2 linked regions of the Styela clava genome follow. The protein of the gene in region 1 interacts with the protein of each later gene in a pairwise test. Links are inferred from orthologs where the notes say so. Each region holds a gene or a part of one and is shown in the gene's direction. Other genes may lie near its edges. The genes, in order: PIN2/TERF1-interacting telomerase inhibitor 1-like; axin interactor, dorsalization-associated protein-like.

Evidence for each region.
Region 2: the proteins of PIN2/TERF1-interacting telomerase inhibitor 1-like (region 1) and axin interactor, dorsalization-associated protein-like interact in binary tests that used the Homo sapiens proteins (3 or more experiments, as listed by UniProt). The link is inferred for Styela clava from reciprocal best matches to the Homo sapiens genes PINX1 and AIDA.

What each region holds. Positions count from the first base shown.
Region 1 is NC_135264.1:9,952,951-9,963,304, forward strand, and holds the start of PIN2/TERF1-interacting telomerase inhibitor 1-like, read left to right. Parts: upstream 1-6,232; 5' UTR 6,233-6,371; coding exon 6,372-6,390; intron 6,391-6,664; coding exon 6,665-6,774; intron 6,775-8,019; coding exon 8,020-8,112; intron 8,113-8,333; coding exon 8,334-8,427; intron 8,428-9,097; coding exon 9,098-9,163; intron 9,164-9,363; coding exon 9,364-9,461; intron 9,462-9,692; coding exon 9,693-9,872; intron 9,873-10,354. Other genes in the region: histone H2B type 2-F-like, read left to right, coding at 4,089-4,448. UniProt on the Homo sapiens protein: Microtubule-binding protein essential for faithful chromosome segregation. Mediates TRF1 and TERT accumulation in nucleolus and enhances TRF1 binding to telomeres. Inhibits telomerase activity. May inhibit cell proliferation and act as tumor suppressor.
Region 2 is NC_135251.1:23,634,363-23,644,421, forward strand, and holds the start of axin interactor, dorsalization-associated protein-like, read left to right. Parts: upstream 1-5,072; 5' UTR 5,073-5,225; coding exon 5,226-5,338; intron 5,339-5,493; coding exon 5,494-5,557; intron 5,558-6,354; coding exon 6,355-6,463; intron 6,464-7,070; coding exon 7,071-7,143; intron 7,144-7,366; coding exon 7,367-7,446; intron 7,447-8,108; coding exon 8,109-8,234; intron 8,235-9,234; coding exon 9,235-9,357; intron 9,358-9,898; coding exon 9,899-10,016; intron 10,017-10,059. UniProt on the Homo sapiens protein: Acts as a ventralizing factor during embryogenesis. Inhibits axin-mediated JNK activation by binding axin and disrupting axin homodimerization. This in turn antagonizes a Wnt/beta-catenin-independent dorsalization pathway activated by AXIN/JNK-signaling.

The sequences.
Region 1 (10,354 bases):
AACTTTTAATTTATTATGTACACTACCTTGGCCACTTCGTTTAGGTCTGCTTAGAAGACTTCCAATTTAATATTTACACTGCGCTATTTGTTCACGTCTGCTACGATACGATTGGTTAACGGATTCGTGTATATTGTTACGTCATGAACTATAGCAGTTCGCGCAGTATCGACATCAATTCATTCATCTAATTTGCATATTTAATGGGATAAATATCCTAAGTCAACCTGACCCAGCACACTTCGTCTCACATATTACAAACACGAGGAACTACGATGGCACCGACAAAGGGAGCAAAGAGGGTCGCGAAGCAGGTCCCTAACAAGAAGGACACCAGGAAATACCGCAGAAAGCGCAAGGAAAGCTTTGGTATTTACATCTACAAAGTTCTGAAGCAGGTGCACCCAGACACCGGCATCTCCAGGAGAAGCATGAACATCATGAATTCTTTCGTTAACGACTTGTTCGAAAGAATCTCTGGCGAGGCTTCTCGACTTGCACATTACAATAAGAGGCGTACCATCAGCAGTCGCGAGGTACAAACTGCAGTTCGCCTGCTTCTTCCCGGTGAACTTGCAAAACACGCCGTTTCGGAGGGAACCAAGGCGGTGACAAAGTACACCAGCTCCAAGTAAACAGAAACCTGATTATCAATTACAACGGCTCTTTTCAGAGCCACTCACAATCTAACAAGCTGTTAATCCGATTTTTGGAACAACAATGATTGATATTGCCTGCCTATTAATACCAGTAGTCTGCTCTCCAAAAGAAGTAACGTTACACGCCGTATTTACTCGGCTCTCCTTTCGCATCAGATTTTTATTTGGCGTCTTAGAAATTACGGCGTTTACTTCGCCAGACCCAGCAATGGCTTTGAAACTGGGCATTTACGCATGAATTATGCATTTGGATGTCGCGAGAGGTTGAAATAAGTAGCATGGAAACGCTTGATCGCCAATTTCACAGTTTAAAACTAATGGAGATGAGCGCGATATACTTGTTAAAATTCCCTGAGCAGGTGGTACACGAATAGTGCGAGATGATTCCGATTGCCCCACAAGAAGCGTACCCTAACTGTGTATAGCAGTGGTTCCAAACCTTTTATAGCCCGTGGTTCCCTCCAGAGGCTTTTAGCACTCATGGCTTCCATAAATTTTAGGCGTCGCAAGGAGTACACTAGTTTCACACAAAGTATCATATATATTGTACTTTTTTAGACTTTTGATGCGAACCACAATTAAAAAATTAAGGCGAAACATAAATGTCACGATTTCGATAGAATACATCGGATCAGAGGAGCGGCGCGCACGCATAACAATGCCGTTTTTGATCGTAAGACCCGATAAGAGTCGCGCTTAGGGCGTCGCGGAAAATTTTAATACACAGTATCCATAAAGTCTTTGTAACCTCCCTTTCAACGTGACCCGGTAGCACAAGGCGTCACATAGGAAAAACTAACAAATCGAAAACGCATCTCCCAAATCCTTGTCCAAACACAACCAATTGTTGAAAACTTGTAATGAAATTGTAATTCGAAGCATAACATGAAATGCTCAGCAATACACAAACATCACAATAGACGGAAATGAAAGATGGAAGACGGTTTTCTAAAACAAAATAATATGTCTTAGAACACTTATAAAACTAAATAATACCAAATTCAGCAATGATCCAAATATAAATAACATACCGATAATATTTATGACACCGGGTAAGAAAACACATACATCAGTGAACTTCAAATTATGCAACTTAAAGTACTAGCATTCTTACCCAAAAATCATTGCATAATACATTCTGGAAACATCAGTACAATTTCTTCACAGTAACAAATGTACGGCTCAATATCTTAACACCAAGGGCAACAACCCAATAGATCCACTTACTAACTAATTTAGATGTCTAAGTCATCTACAAGATAAACACAATAAACAGCAATAATTAAATCACAATAATACCAACACAAAGAAACTTTAAAAACTTGACTTGGCAGCAAAACAGCAGCAAAGTATGGTGCAATATCCATTAATGGCGGCGAACTCGACTTAACAGCGCCTACACGTGGCAACAATATTATTGCCAAACAATAATACTTGGATCCTGTGGATCGTGACGTAACAGTCTTTACAATTTTAATTTTGTTATGAAGTGAGTCCTGAATATATTTTAACCAGGTTTGTTGCTTTTTTGAACAGTAATTCATATTATATATACGCTTTGGCCAGACCCAGAGAAGTTATGCGCTAAGTTTCTCTTCCTAGTTGTTTTCATGTCATACTGGTAAGAACTGCTGTTTTAAGTCTCGCGTGGATTGATATTTGCTGACACGCGATTTTACACTAGAGATGTATCGGCCAATTTTTCGGTAGTGCATCGGTATCGGCTACATTTAGACCGATATTTCCGATATATTTAGCTTCTCAATAATATGATCCAGAATGTTTTAAAAAATAGGTTAAAATACTAATCTTGAAATTATTTTTTGCTTGGATAGGTCGTGAACTATGAGCCATGCACGTCCCCACCCCGGCTAGTAGAAACGGGAATCGGATTTTGACCTGTTTTTAGCCATTTATTAGCAAAACTGGCTCAATCAATTTTAGTAATTTCACTGCCAAATTTTTATATCAAAATTTTTAATATTACATGGTAATTATGAAAAAATATATCGATCGAATATTAGTGCATGCTCCAATATTTAAAATATAAAATATGACGTTATATTGGCACAAAATCCTTCCTGCGCATGTAACTCAATGTATCAGTTTCATACGGTAAGTAGGCTGAACATTTATTTGTTTTACCACCAACATTAGCCAAATTCTATTAGTTTTCTAATAAATCTATTTGAACACTGAGATTACTAGCGCCAGTGCATCTGAATCAATTAACGCATTTGGATCTCAAACATCTACTTCTTAATACTACTTAATGTGTGTGATATGTATATAAATATATATATTACTCTTTTTTGATCCGAAATAATGTGCACTATTAATAAGGCTGAAAGGTAAAAATTACACTTGAGGTAGCCTAATAGTTACATAATATCGGAATATCGGTCGTTTTTGAATATCGGCGTATCAGTATCGGCCTTTTTAGCTGGTATCGGATCGGTATCGGCGACAAAAGTGGTCTCGGTACATCTCTATTCTACACTATAATTTTTTTAAGTCGGTTATTTTTTATAACTTATAGCCAGTGGTGGGATTCAAATTTTTTGTCAGCCGGTTCCATCACAAAAATCATATTTTTCGGCCGGTTCTGTTACATGTTTTTTTAAATAATGCTAACCGGTATGCTGATCTCATAAAATTCCGTGAGACGGTTCTATAGAAACGGTGCGAACCGGCTGAATCCCACCACTGCTTATAGCCCAACTGATACTTGAACCTCGAACTGTAATTCCTAGAGTCAATATTATTATTTACAGTTTTTCAAACAAAAGTGTAGAACATGAAAACTTTAGATTATATCATAATGGTTGACTGGCTTAGTTTCGGATTTATTTTAAAATTTAAATAAGCAGCCAAGGGTTCTGGATTAAGTTGGTGCGATGGTCTTAGTTCATTAAAGTTATATGCGAGTTGTACGCATATTTTAGATGTGCTCGTCTGCAGGCTGAACAATTCTAACCAAAACTGGAAACATAACGATGCTAATTGATAAAATTTAACTTATTAGTTATGAAGTTTCTAATGTACAACAGCCCAAACGATATCTTCGTGTATTTTTCATTGTTATGATATTTGATCCTTTATAGTTTACATGCGTTTTTTGTGTTTGTAAGTGAACTCGATGCGAGGTTTGGCTTGACAACTAGAAATCTCTATATTTTATCTTATGTGTAACAAATAGAGTGATCGAAATAATCTATGTCTCGCGAACCTGAAAAAAATATTTATCAAGAACAACATTCAAGGTAGATGTGCGTGGGCGAAGACTACTATCGGCCGCGTAAACCACCCGGGGAAAAGTTCAGCAAATCTTCAGAATACCCCTAATTTGCATACCAAAGCCTATAAATAAGGCATGTCTCCGATTACCGTCATACTTCGTTTTTGATTATACAAACACGTATAGCGGAAATGGCCCCCACAAAAGGAGCAAAGAAGGTTGTGAAACAAGTCAATGCCAAAAAGGATGCCAGGAAAGCTCGAAGGAAGCGCAAAGAAAGCTTCGGCATTTACATCTACAAAGTTCTGAAGCAGGTTCACCCAGACACCGGCATCTCCAGGAGAAGCATGAACATCATGAATTCTTTCGTAAACGACCTGTTCGAAAGAATCTGTGGCGAGGCCTCTCGACTTGCGCATTACAACAAAAGGCGTACCATCAGCAGTCGCGAAGTGCAAACCGCAGTTCGCTTGCTTCTTCCCGGTGAACTTGCAAAACACGCAGTTTCTGAGGGAACCAAGGCCGTGACAAAGTACACCAGCTCCAAATAAGCTGTTATAAGTTTTGCCAATCACAACGGCTCTTTTTAGAGCCACCCAAAACTTAACGAGATGTTTCCATTGTAAGCGGATCCGCAAAAATAAATATCAAGACACCTATGCCAGGACGGTTAGCGGATGTATCACTTTAACCATTTATACCTACTAGCGATGGAAATTCCAATGCCTCTTTATTATCATTGTCAGTACTCAGTATTACTTTTATCGTTGCTATTAGGATTGGGCATTTCTAATCGTCGCCATCTTGTTTTTTTCCGTCAAAGGTAGAGGTGAATCCTTCTCAATTTTTTTGCGATGCCATGTCCCGTCAGAACGTTTTGATCGTCGTTTTTTTTTCTTTCAATTTATCCTCCGGTCGGTTCGGAACACGCCCAGACTTGCATCTCGTGCATTTTTAAAGTGCAATTCGGACATGCCCCCCGCCTCCTAGCGAGTTACCATGTTTCCCCGAAAATAAACCCTCCTAGAGAGAGACCTAGTCGATGGCGCGATTTTTTTTTCGACCTAGTCCTCAACAAGAATCTTCCCTACACGTTGATTATCTAAAACGTGTAATTTATAGGTAAATGAATATTGGTTTTCAATTGTATATTGGGAAATCTCGTAATTCTCTACTTTGTGATTTTGTTTTTGATAAAAAATAAGCTCTAGTGTTATATTTCGAAAGAAAATTGTAATAAGACCCTATCTTATTTTCGGGGAAACACGGGGGATGAAACATGTTTCTCTTTGTTTATGACAACTCAGCGAACTGACTTACAGAGTTGGATCAGTTGTAATTGATGTAATTAATTACAGTTTTTCATGTAATTGTAATGTAATGGAGGCATTTTCATTCTGTGTAATTGTAACTGTAATTTGCTCAAATTTCGGCTCAATTACACTTTCAAATAGACTAAATCTTGGTATTTTAAGAAAAGATGAACATCAAACAAACTCTTCCGAAATCTGTGTTGAACCATTTCCTGCACCAATGTCAGTTTTTTTTTAAATCTTTGAGCAGCACTGAGGCATGCTGTAATCACTGCAAAAAGAAAGTTAAGTTCTCAACCAAAGCTCGTCAAACTTGATCACGCACTTGAAGAGATGTTATCCCCATCTATATCCTAAATATATGAATTTCAAAAGAAAACACCAGAAAAACACGATGAAGGCTAAGGTTGATCATAGCCAACCACCTAACAAGTCATTTTTTTAGACTACTTCTTCTCAGCGATGGCAGAAGATTTAAAAAGAAAAGACCAAGGAAATCAAGTGAAGTAGATAGATATTTGGGAGAAAAAAATCTGCAATTTGATGAAGACTCATTAATGTATTGGAAAATAAATAAGAAGAATTTCCCACGCTTGCTTCTTTAGCCAAGAATTATTTGGGACTAACAGCAACAGCAGCCTCGTCAGTACGAGTTTTTTTTAACTTTTATACGGCAAGAAGAAATTTATTGGGGTCAGAAACTTTTTGCTGTCTAATCTTCATCAAGCGCAATCAGACAGTTTTTGAGCAAGTGAAAATGTGAATACGAACCAAAATGTTATAATTGTAAATGTAATTTGATATTTTTTGCACAGAGGAATTGTAATGTAATTGAAACATTTAAGGGAGTAAATAATTGTAATTGAACTGAATTAATGTAATTGTTCCAACTCTGCTGACTTAATGATCGTTTTTATGATTTCCACTAATTTATTGTGTCTGAAGGCATCATCATAATAATAATAAAAGTCACATAATCGAACAAGACCATCAGATTTCAAATATGCTAGGTAACCGGAAAACGACTCGAACCACATGTGAAGCGCTGCACAGTCAATGACCACATGCTGGCAAGCGCGGACGTCCACGAAATAGTCCGTTTTACCTAGTTTTCGGCGTTGTTGATTGTAACAAGCGAAAGGACTGACAGGGATTCACAACATGTCAATGCTTGCAGAAAGTAAGTAGATTTTTGCTATTCAGCGAAAATTTCATGTGATGTTCATTTCTAGCGTTGGCTACAAACAAACACTGAAACAACGGCGTACCGGGTACCAGCATTTGACCTAGTTAAATATACTTAATTAAGTCAGTGCCGTAGGTACAGGTACAGTAAGGATTTACCTTGGAGGAGAACCAGTTTTTGAAAATGAAATGCAGCATTTGTTTGATTTGTGTATTGTAGTCTTGGCTAGTTGAACTTCTAAACGTTCTAACATATTTTTATATTTCAGGTCGAGATAAGAAAAAGTGGTCAATAGACCCAAATGGCACAAACTGGTCAAAAGACGAAAACAAATTTGGTGTGAAAATGCTTGAAAGAATGGGTTGGACCAAAGGCAAGGTACGGTACCGTATGGTCACAGTCAACTGCTTATCTTTCTTTCTGCAATTTCATGATTTTTGTGTATACAAATTTAATAATTTTTTTGACTTCAACCAGCACTACAGCACTAGAATATGCCATATCGTTACCGGTACCGTACTATAGGTACAGTACTATCGTATTGACTCAGTGATAATGCCACCATAAATAGATAATTGGTTTTGAAGGTGTATTTTGTGTAAAGTGATGGATAGCCGTCGATAGTAAATACCAGTGCTAGAATTCGATGAGACCTTTATTGAGTGAATCAAATCAACAATTTTCCTTTTACTCCATTACCATTATCTAACTTCATTGGTTCAACTTTTAATAGTTTTTTGTGTATTATTGCAAAAATGATGAAAATGCAAACAGCAGTATTAGTACGGTCTTACTACTTCTGTACTTACTGAATACAGCGCGAAACACCGCAAAGAGCGCGAAACAGCGCAAAACAAAGGAAAACAGTGTGGAAACCGCGCAAAACAGCGCGAAATAGAGGGAAACAGTGTGAAGCAGAAAAAAATTTTGCAATGAGTTCGGGGCACCTTGTTTTGAGTTGGAGTACCACGGCAGCAAATTAAAATCACAAACCAACGTATGTAGTCAGTAATGCTGTAATGGCAGGTATGCCCCTGCTGGTGACACATTTTGGGTACCATAATTTAGAACATTTTCCATATGGATATGGTTGGCTTTAGGGTTAGGGTTAGGTAAAAGGGGACCTCCAGAAGTATGTGCACCAAGATGGCGCACAACCTGAAATTGTATGTGTGTGTGTGTGTGTGTAGCGGATTCTGGTTGTGCGACATATTGCACATACTTCTGGAGCACCAAAAAGGTAGATAAAATTTCGCATGATGACCTATAATCCGGTACATAACCTTGTAAATATGCCGGAAATAGCGCCATAAAACCATGGCGAGAGGCGCCGTGGTTCTTTCGTGGCAGGAGGTGGTAATGACTGCGTCTCCTTTTTTGCGCTGTTTCCCTCTGTTTTGCGCTGGTTTCCTTCTGTTTTGCGCTGGTTTCCTTCTGTTTCGCGCTGGTTTCCTCTGTTTTGCGCTGCTTCGCGCTATTTTGCGCTGTTTTGCGCTCTTTGCGGTGTTTCGCGCTGTATTCAGTAAGTAGTAAGACCCGTATTAGTATCATCATAGAATGATATAATTCTGCAATCTTCTGTAATGAATAGCATTTTCTTTACTTTGCTCCCAAATATTTCAGGGACTGGGAGCGAATGAAGATGGGAGAATCGCACACATTAAAATTAAACATAAAAATGATAATCGTGGAGTTGGATGTTCGATAAAGCAAGAAGTGGGTTCACAATTTCATTCATTTTATAGTTAAAATTAGAGTAGTTAGTCACTGCGGAGGGTGCCAGTCCCAGGATGAAGGTTTAGGTAACTTATATTCAGACTAGTAGATCACCAAATCACATGTTTATATCTTTCTCCGGAAAGCTAATACAATAATTGAACCCCTATAATGTTTAATAGTTATATTTTGAATATTTCATTTGAATTCCTATTTGACAGCAAAATTGGGTTGCTCATCAGGATGACTTTGCAGATTTACTAGCACAATTGAACAATCATCACTCCGATCAAACTGACGTGAAAAACATGAATGGTATATTCGAGAACTTAATTATTTATTCATATTTTTGAGATTATGTACTATAAATAACAATCACTTTGCCTCAATACTTGTATGGCAATTTGAAGATGGGATAAAAAAAATCAGAAAAAAATGAATGTATTGCAGTCTTGCTTCATGACCAACTATAAATTTGATATCATTTATGAGTTTTGTTTACACCATTTTGTTGTATTCAAAAATCTATGTTGATCAAACAAGATCACTTTTCACAATAACACTTCGAAATCTTCCATTTTCGCATAAAATTGAAGTATATTCGTATATCATGATATGTTACAAAACAGGTCATTTTTATTATTAAAAATTTCTATTTCAAACATTTTCTATGCAACTTGTACTAATGTGCCTTCCTATTAAAACAATGTGATCAAGTTAACCAGTAATTTGTTTGCTGTAATATGAAGGCAGAAAAAAATTTGCAAAACATCCAAGGTCGCATGCCACACAATGCATTGCTACCCATTTCACCTTTGCTACAAGTTTTAAAATTAACTTTGCTAGCCAAAATAGTGATAGAGGTAATCTATAAAGTACTAGAATAAGTTAGATTTTCTTATTTTTGTCAAGAAGAATAGAAGCTGATAAGATCGTTATATTATATCGTCCCTATATATATACATCATTTTTGTTTATTCCACAGGTGTCTCCAGCCTTGAAAAGAAATCTAAATCACAAAAGAGAGTACATTATCACAAATTTGCAAGAGGTATGGTAAAAATAGAGAAGAATAATATATCAGCTAATTTTCAAGTGTCATAAACGTGCCTTTTGCCCCAAAACAAGGCCCTGATATCTCGGGATATTTAAGTAGCTACTATTATTTGAAAGGAAATTAATCTTCCCAGTTCGGCATAGACTATCCATTTTATCACACCATTTTCACACTGGATTGTTGTTATTTTCTAGGTAAAGACCTTTCCAATTACAAAGAGACTGATCTTGCAGCAATATTTGGAAAAACAGCATCCAAGAGTGAGCCTGTTACACCTATCAATTTGTCAGAGGTGATTATTTTTTAAACATTGGGGTTGGGCCATTGATATGTTTCTTGGCTTTTTTAATTCAGAGTAAGTGTACTATAATGGATAAAAACCTAAAAAATTTTCGATATTTATATCTGAAAGAAAATTCTCTTGTATCAAATTCGCTTCAAACATAAAAATATTATCAATTTTGGAAACACTGATTTTTTGTGTTGTTGCTGATCGCGAAATCTTTATTTCTGATTCATGTAGGATGAAATATCTGATGCAGACAGCACTTCATCCTGCCCAGAAAGCAAGAAAAAGAAGAAATCAAAAAAAAAGAAAACTACTGAAAAAGAATCCCCAAAAAATAATGCAACCAATCATGTAACTTCTACAATAAGTGTGCAAGAATATTTTGCACTAAGAATGGCTGCAATTAAAAAGAAGGTAACGTAGTAAAAACAATTCATTAGGTGGTGGGCACAGGGGCGGACACTTTCCATAATTTTGGGGGGGCGAAATTGGATCGCCTACCGAAAAACACCGCGCCGTGTATCGTCACGTAACAGTAACCTGTCGATGTCATTCTCTAAGTATTAGCATGTCATTTTGCTACTCATATATCGATTACCTAGGCTGCTTTGCTCGGACACGGAACTTGCGCGTCACTGAACCAATTTCTTGAATTCCGCGAGAATTAGCCCACGGCTTTTGCTAACAAACAGAAAATAACAAATTTGAGGTCGGAACATCCCATTGCCGTCTGCAACAAGCACCGCGATTACGCGCTAGTTAAAAGAGCCGCCTATTTAAGCGTATAATGTTTTTTCTGTCGATCCATGAGAGCCACGAGATTCTAAAATGTCCTTATATATTAATTTAATTGTGTGCAGCGTAACTCGCGGTTGCGACTTCTTAGGTCAAAATAA
Region 2 (10,059 bases), on another chromosome or scaffold:
TAGCAATTACAGAATTAGACGGTCTCGTTCGGTCGTTACTCATCAAACTGTCAATACAATACAGCAATACGTCTACAGGTCTAATAACAGAATACGGTAACACACAATTCAAAAAAACAGGAACTCAAAACTAATCATATTAACACCGCACTGATATAAAAATTTGATAATACTGTACTAATCCTACATCGTTAATCCATTTTTTCTTATTAATTAACCAGCTGCCCGAACTTGACTGGTTTCCCGTGTTTCCACGTCCCGGCCGGCGCAACGCTGTCTCATAACAAAGACCGGGTTTGTTTTGATCAACAAAGAGGCGGTGATTTCATGATACGCCATCTCACGTGAGCCAGGGTAGCCATTTTGATTGGCCAATAAAAAGCAAGGCCGGCAGTAATTGGTCCCAGGACATGAACTCAGTCACGTCAGCTGACATTGCACAATGATCAAAACAATGATGCAATGCGCTTCACCCGCGGGCGCTGAGCGTGTTCGTGTCGTACGTAGTAAACAAACACTGCGATGGCGGGAGTGAGAACTTGATCGTGATAAAATGATAAAAATGTAATACCCAGAAAAGAAGACCATTGCTTGAACCAAACTTGAGGCGTGATGTTACAACAACGCCTAATACTAACTCTGCCTAATAATAATCAATGCAATCCGCGTCCTCGAGAAGGATAGATCCCGCGGGCGCATTTCAGTTTGGTGTGATAAGAATGTTTAAGTGCAATGATATTTATGCATTATTGTGTCTATATAAATGTAATGTTTTTATTATGAAATAAAAAAAGAATGTTTACGACGTGCGTGAGCAGTTCATCTTTTTTTGTAATAATTTGTTGCCTCATAACGAGAATCCATGCTAGACATATGAGCAAAGGTTCACAAAATAAAATCTGGATAATATTATTAGATAGATAGATAATGATTTATTTCCGATACAAGTACATAATACAATAGGCATGAGCAAATAACAATACGCATAAAAATGTATACGGAAGGGGACGGGCAAGACTAACAAGGTCGACCGACCCCTAAGGTAAGATTCTACCAAGACAGGACACTCTAAAGCAGGCATCATAATTACAATAGAAGAAATATAAATTTTTGAGTTTTAAGCCCGGTTAAGAGGCCCCAGAAATCAATTCCCCGAGAAAGTATTTGAATAGAAATAAAAATTACAAGGAACAAGAACATCACATGATTACGCAGATCATGTTTTCAATAGTAATTAAAAATGCGAGAAAGAATAAGAAGGGCGTCGGGCTAATTACAAAAATTATACTTTATGATAGACAAGAATCAAATCGTGAGAATGAGGCAATTTCTATGAATAGGTGAAAAATTAAAAATATCATACTTCCCAAGCTATATAGTACATATAATTATTACTGCAGACTATATATAATAGTATCTTCAAAAATTTTCACAAAGACATATGAAGAATCCATATATAAGATTGTGAATTCCTATCCATTTTATAAATCTGATAGCATACACTGAGATTTGCATGATATTGCATCATATTATGATCCGCTGAAATGCTGTTTTAATTTGCAAATAGGGTGGTATCAATCAAAGATTGAAAATTACAAGAAAAAAGAACATCGCATGATTATGCAGGTTATACTTTTTTTTAATAGTAAATAAAATGCGAAAAGAAGTGAAAAATTAAGAAGGGCGTAAGCCTAATTATAATTTCCTCAAATTTAATTTTACTTTATGTTCGACAAAAATCAAATAGTGAAAATGAGGAAATGAGGCAGTTTCTATGAATGGGTGAAAAATTTAAAATACCATATTTCCAAAGCTATATAGACATATAGTACATATGAACACTTCAGACTATATATAATAGTATCTTCAATAATTTTCACAGAGACATACATCTATAAAATGGTGATTTCCTATCCATTTTATGAATCTGATAGCATACACTGAGATTTGAACGTCACTGCATCACATTATAATCCGCTAATAAATGTTGTTTTAGTTTGCGATCAAATAATTGTGGGGAACACTGTTTCATACTCTGTGGAATACTTTGCCATACATTAATACCTTCCAGCTTGAGCGATTTCTTCATGCATGAAGATTGATATCGCGGGGTGAAATACAATTTATTTGATGTACTCCTGGTCTCATACGGATGGATATTTGAAATTTTGACAAAAAAGTTTTGAAAATACTCTGGCAGCAGCACATTTTCATAACGATACATAAATTTTCCCACTTCACTTATGTAGAGTTCTTTCAATTGAAGAAATTCACAATGATGATACAGTTTTGCATTATTTATACGTATTTGTCTAGATGACTCTCGGTACATCATACATCTAATCATCTTATTTTGTAAAACGGCGAGGGGTCTTAAAGCAGTTTTTGTCGCGTTACCCCAACATAATATACCATATCGAAGATGTGAAAAGGCCAGGCTATTATAAACTATTTTAAGGGTTTCAAGATTTACAAATCTCCTTAATTTATAAAGCATTCCAAGTGATTGAGAAAGTTTTTTCGAAAGGTAATCTATGTGATTTTTCCAATTAAGTTTTTCATCCAGAACTATTCCCAAATATTTTATAGTACTTGTTCTTTCCAAGCTAATTGTGCCAACTTCTAATTTAAAGTTTTCAAACCTTATATTTTTCCCAGACCCAAAAACCATGAATTTTGTTTTCGAATAGTTAAGCGACAATTTATTTAGTTTCAACCAATGGTCAATTTGCTTTATTTTCAAATTCATTGCATGTTGGAGATCTACAATATTTGTGGCAGAGTCAAGCAGAGCTGTATCATCAGCGAATAGTGTGGTATCGAACGCACTGGTAGTAGGAAGGTCATTGATGTAGACTAAAAATAGTAGGGAACCAAGAGTGCTACCTTATGGGACTCCACAAGATACATATTGAAGGGAAGATTTGTAACCATTCGATTCAATGAATTGTTGACGCTTCGTTAAATAAGATCGAATTAGATTAAGTGGCAATCCACGTATGCCATAATGGGACAATTTGTATAATAAAATAGTGTGGTCAACCGTATCGAATGCCTTTGCCAAATCTAGGAAAATAGCACAAGTTACTTTATTATCTGATAAATTATTCAATATTGATTCTTTTAGTTTGACTACAGCAAGCTCTGTAGAATGTGCATTTCGGAAACCAAATTGGGAGTTACTGATATTAGGCTGATGGATGTTAGTAGCGACGATCGATTTTCGTGCCTTTGCTATCCTTCTGTAACTATTATATTCAATTTGGTACTACTCGGTCCAATAAGAACTATCTTGAATATAAAACAAAAACAGCTCAGTTCAGTATGCGAAATTCATCGCCAACTGGAGTACGAATGGGATGACAAATCGAAATAGATGAGGATTTCATATTTATCTCCCAGACACACAAATGCTATAGAAATAATATACACATTTGATCAAGTGGTTGTGTGACTCACTTTGCGAGACATCTGAATTTCATACTTGTAGATGCAAACGTTACGACCTGCAACTTCAAATTATCATTTTATTGATAGCGGATTCCGAAATGTTCTATTTCGACTTTGTTGTGGCTCGTTTACGAAATGCCGCAGCTGCACTGACATTCATCCAAACTGTCGAATGATGAGATTTGGGAATGTAACTAAAAAAGGTCAAATAAAACTCTAAATTATGCATGTTTGGCGAATTTCAGTTTAAGCTTAACTGCCATGGCCCACTGTTGGGCCAAAGAGGTTGGCCACAGAACTATTAGAAATTGCTAGTTTCATTTATGTCACAATAGTTACTTTTGATTGTAGCAGCAATCAATGACGATGCTGTTCTCTACTACTGGAAGGTAATTCCCATACTAATTATGAACGTTTGAGAGTCCATTTTAGCAGACAGATCTTGATTTTCTTGTTGTTTTCTCCTTGCAATAAAAAGTTTTTGGGCAACAAAAATGGGCCACGAAAAAAAAAATAGTTGTTTGTCGATTCGTATGCAAGGGTATTGTAGCAAGAATCAAAACGGCCATATAGAGTGGTTATAATATATCTGGCGTCACACTTTCACAAATTTTATTTTGTAACGTTTCATTTGACAAAAGTCAGAACATCGCCGACAATCAGTTTACTCTGGTATGTTAGTCGTTGGTTTACCGTGATACATGTAATGGTTAAATTGTGAAATGCTGATGAGTCGTTAGTCGTTACGAATGAATAACGAAATCCATTCGTTATGACGTCACGGACTGCTAAAAGGGGGAATCCCCTTTCAATTTTTGCAGTGTAGTTGACGCGATTTCGTAATGCAGTAATGCCGAATGCTAATTGCCAGTTAGGATAGGAGGATAGGATAGGATTTACATATTTATCCCGGGGGAGAGGAAAGCCGATAAGACGGCTTATCCATATGGCGAACCACGGCCTCTCGTCCGGTTACCATTCCAAGTCGGGTATGGGATTAGATTTACTGTATTGTTTGTTTTCGGAAGCATGGACTTGGTGGTGGAGGAAGCCGTAACCGACCAGCGGTTAGGTGAACCACCCAACGACGGCGAGGAGTCCAGCAATCCTCTCGCACATAACCATCCCTGCATGGGATTCGAACCTGCGAACCCACGCAGAGTAGTTAGAGGTGCGGTGGCGAGCGTATTCCTAACGCTTAGCCCGTTGAGCCACACCGCCGCGCCTGTTAGTTATAATTATTGCGATAAAGGGCTGTTCACTCGATTATTCCTTGAGAGGCTTAGCAGCATTATGAAAATATATGTGTTCTTCATATTTTAATCATACAAATTCGATTCATATGTGCCTATAAAATGATTAACTTGTTTGAAATATGTTTGATGTGGTTATGCCCGTCCTCCAGTTCCTCTGCATTTTGTTTGTCCGTTTGTTGTTGTTTCGTTTCTTTCAGAGTGACCAAAATAAAATTGATTGATTAACTCGTTTGAAATATTTTTGGTGAAAAATATGAGAGAATTGCATATAACAGTGTTATGTAATTTCCCATCTTCCCGCAAGATACCGTACCGAATAATGACCAAGTTTAGATGACATTTTATTTCTTTCATCTAAAATATTTCTCTTTGGCTAAATTTGGCTTCACTTATTTAGACTAATTTTATAGATCAGTTTTACAACAGACTCTGCTTGTCTGAAAATCAGTATAGTATATCAGGGTTCCATTATTTCGGATTTCAATTACCGATATTTGAAATAAGCCTATTTTTTTCATAATGTCAAAATCTGAAATTGAAAAACTGGTTGGCACTTGGAATCAAAAATTTCAACAAGCAACAGATTTTGATTCCTGGGGACAACTAGTGGAAGCAGCGGATGAATATTCAAGGTAGGTTAATGAGTTGGAAAAATTGAAGTAAAATGTCCAGTTTTGTTTTCATAGTCTGATTGTGGACTCTTTCTAGTGAGTAATAACATTGGATAAATGATTTTCAATTCATATTTTCAATACAATTTTTATTTGATAATTGTTCTACTTTGCAGATTGGCACGAATGATGAAAGCTGCAACAGCAGTTGATCAAAAAACATTTGATGAAGATAAATCTGTAAGCTATTATTCCCCATAAATATATATTTATCTTTGATAAGAATCACATAGCAAAAAACACACAAGGCTTGCTAAAGTTAGAACTTTGTGTTAAAATCGATAGTTAAAACGATCAACCAAAGGAGAAAATTCTATGCTTGCAATGGCAAGTGATATACTGAACTATCACTTCTACCAGGGGCACTCAAAAATCAGGAGATGTCTGTTGTATTTGTAAATATACTGTTTGATTATCTGGATTATAAGCGGAAACGTTACTCAATAAATAACCAATATATTAGGTTCAGTCTGATTAAGTTTACACTCGTACATAACAAAGCATGCAGCATGCATGACTTTTTGATAAATACTATAGGTAATAACAACTCCTTACTCTTGAATTGAGCCATTTAAAAAATCCCTGACACTCAATAAAAAAGGTCCAACTTCAGGATAAAGGAAATTATGACTCACTTTTTTACCGAAAAAACAAATATTTCGTAATTGCCTATTGGGGATGCTCTGTCAACTTGGTACATTTTGAGTTCCTGATTATCTCCATCCAAAGTTTGATTTATTGACTTCGAAAAATTTTGTTTTCGACTTTCGACTTTGGGAAGTTTAAAATATTGATTCAATTACACAGACATGAATGCCTATCACAACACATATGTAATCATAATTCAATATGGCAATGTAGTGGGTATTATACAGCATTTTTTATTGGTTTATCATTTCTTTATTTAATTTATTAGAAGTTCATAAAACACAATTTGTTCACCAACTCATAAGTAATAATTACGTTTGGTTTTACAGAAAATAATAAGAAAAGTTGCTTCATGCTTGGAAATTCGAGCAAAATCATTGCAAATGATGAAATCACCTCCAGATATTGATTTAGCAGAAATTAAGAAATTGTTAGAAGGTTTGTAGTAGTCATTATTGTCTGCCCCTGATTATTCTAGATAAATTATGATCAAAATATGTTGTTGATGAAAAATATTCTTCTGAACTGTAGGCAATGACATTTTTATATCATGAAATGGGCCATTGATAATTACATATTACCCTATGTGATAGTAATACATTGAATCATGTCATTTGTTACCTGCTTTGTTGATTTTGATTATCATGTAGCTATTCTCATAAATATTTTATGTTCCAGTGCTATCAGGTTACACATGGCATAGTTGGTTTTTGTCATCAATATGCATTGATTCTATCAGATGAATGGTTTTAGACTATTTTAGTTACTCTAAATGATGAAAAATGGTCATCTATCTTGTGTAGAAGTTCTCAAACTTTCATGATCATGGCCCCTTTTTAGAGACTCTTCAGAAATTGAAGGCTGAAATGAAGAAAAGGCTTTTGCCCCCAGAGAATCACTCAATGCCATCCTAGAGAGCTGAAGGCCCTGTTAGAAAAAACCCTGATCAATAGAGTGCTGACAACCTGTGTAGGTGTGACCTACCATTGATGAGAGCTGAACAATGAACGAATGCTGATTTTATTACTCTTTATCTTATCTTTAGTAATGAAAAATTTGCTGAAGAGTAAGAAACCAGAAATACCAGAGGAAATAAATCGTCAGATGAAAGGTCTAAGGTGAGTGAATCATATTGTAATAATTATATACCGATACATTATATAAAATTTGAATTAACAGTGCAATGTTATGTATTGGTAATATTTCGCAAACTCAAAAACTAATTTTGTGAAATCTCAGAGTTTCTTAAAAATGAAACTCTGATAGGATTATAGAAAATAAAGTCTAAAATATTAGTGAAAATCACTCGTGAAATAAGTCAAATCTTTTATGAATGTTCAGATTAGTAACCACACCATCACCTGAACCTGTGTCAACAAATCCAGAAGAAGAATCAGTAACGCAACTCGCAACATCCTCATGTGAATATTGGTTATTTTTTGTGCTTTTTACCATTTTATTGAAATGACAATGATATAATCATCTCACTTGTTGTATTGTACTGTTTTATTGTAATGTTTATGTAATAATATAAAAATACATTTGGATTTTTTTTTAAATTTTGCATTGTTCCACTATGAGGCTCACCATATGTTTGATATTAGTTGTAATGGAATTTCTTTTCAATTTTATTATGGGTGATAATCATGTTAGGCATAAAGTAAACTCCATGAGACTATTCCAATATTGTGAAGGCTTTAAATCATTAGGGCAAAACTTGAAAACAAGGTTTTGAAAGAAAAAGCTAACGAATAATTTTGTTGTTTAAACTTCTCCAATTTTTTGTTGAAATACTTATTGCTCCAATCTATGACTAGAAGTGCTACCAGCTCGAACAGCATTCATTTTTCATAATATTTTTAAATATAAGGTATTCAATATATTATAGCCCCCTATTTCATGAAATTCTAAATGTTATAAAGTTTGAAGACACTATGTTAACATTGATCCATGGTTATTGGTCTTCTATACTGAAGTTTAAAGTCTACTTTTGAACATTACAATGTATGCAATTTCAATATGCAAAAATGTCTGGAATAACTTTCTTACATCTCCATTGAATTTGCTCAAATTTGTTTTCCAGTCAATTCACTTCTTCCAAGATTAATTGCTGATCAAAATGAAACACTAGTGACGGTTCGGATTGAAAAAATTGGTTTGAAAGATGCTTCAAGTCATATCGATCCCTTCTTTGTCGTATCTTGTAAAGGTGATGACTAGTAATATTCTGTTCCATTTATAAATATATAAGTGAATCATAAAATATTCCAAATTTCAATTGAATTCTCCAATTATGGAAAAGTATTCATTCTACATTGGATTAACATGCTCACCTAATCCTGAATTTTTTTTACTGCAAGTAAAAAGCAGGACTAAATTTTAGATGCATTATTGCTGGGGGAAGCTCTGAGCCAGCGGTTCTCGACCGGGGGCCACAGGGCAGTTGGAGGAGGGCCACAAGCTGATTTTACTTTTCCCTTTACAAGAAAACTCCCCGTTTTTTCTAGTTTCTTTGCTTAATAAGGTTATTTCACAGAGTGTTTTCACTTCGTTGAGCATTGATTGTTCGAACATGATGGAATTTAGAATCTACCAATCAAAATCACACTAGAAATATCACTGGAATGATAAACAGGGGTGTCATGAGTGCTAAAAGCCCCGGAAGGGGGCCACGATGCAAGTGGTTACATGTAGATCTTCAAGTCAGCAATTAGTCCAGTAATCCTCTTACAGATGATTATCTCACATATTATTTGAGTATGCGGAAAGAAAATAAAAGTTTTTAGACCTCTACTTCAATCTTCAGTCACTGTTCAATTTCAATTTTGAAATTAGTTGGTTCATCAATTACTGAGAGAAGATATTTTTTACGCACCGAAAAACTGGTGAAAACCGATCCATATTGAAGAATTATTGATACTATATTAGAATTTGACAATTATTGAAAACTGTTGAATGATTTCAAAATGTTTGTTCTGGATATGGAAACCTTTTATTTTATTTCTGAAATATCGCTTTATCTGTCACAAACAATACTATTCTCACCAATTGCAGACATCCTCCTTAAATTTTTTTCCATTTGGTGTAAGAATTGTAAGTGTAGCGATTGATATATCACAGATACAGATGAAAACACTTATAAGGCCATACCACAATAATTTCATTACACTTAATCTGTGTATTATCCCTTTTTTCTCTTGTCTTAACAGATATTGCAGGTGTTGATTTATGTCAATCACAAAAGACACCCACAGCTGCAAAAAGAGACGATACATTCCTATATTTTGGCATTGATGTTGAAATACAAATTTGCATTGAAAAAATGTCTAGAAGTAGGTATATTATCTCTAGATTAACACCAGAAAATAGTATTCTCAAAATACATTTACAAGCTTTTAAAAGAGTTCAAATATTTGTGTAATTCAAGTGAATTGTTGAATGAATATTAAATTCTGTCTAGTCATTGTGAATGATTTTTTTTTCTCGCTTTGGCTAATTATAAAGTAGAATATCAAAATTATTTATCAAATATTCAATTTGCTAAAATGGTCATATTGATACTGATGTTATATTTATTTATGTTCAGTATATCAAAACCCATATTTTTGTTTCTAATATGAAATGACTAGAATTTGTAGGTAATTGTCAAATGATGAAGTAGTATTAGTAATTATGTCTGGTTTTTTATAACAATTTACAAATGAGATTTTCTATCCTGGCCAATAAATGTTTTCATCAAAATTTCCGGTTTTGCATTGCCTATCGTACAAATCAAATCTTTGATGAGCATGGCGGTTCAACTCAAGATCTTTAATCTTTGATGCCAACATAGTTAAAGTCTGACACTAAGACACTTTGACAAATCCTTCTCAGATTCTGCAATCTTTTTTGAAATGAAGCATTACAAGCCAAACAAGCGGATGACAAGTTTGAAGTGTTTTGCTTTCATGGAACAAGATGAATTGAAACCTGGTCCTTGTGTCATTGAATTGTAAGTGACGATTTTTTCTGAAATGTAATGCAAATTTATTTAC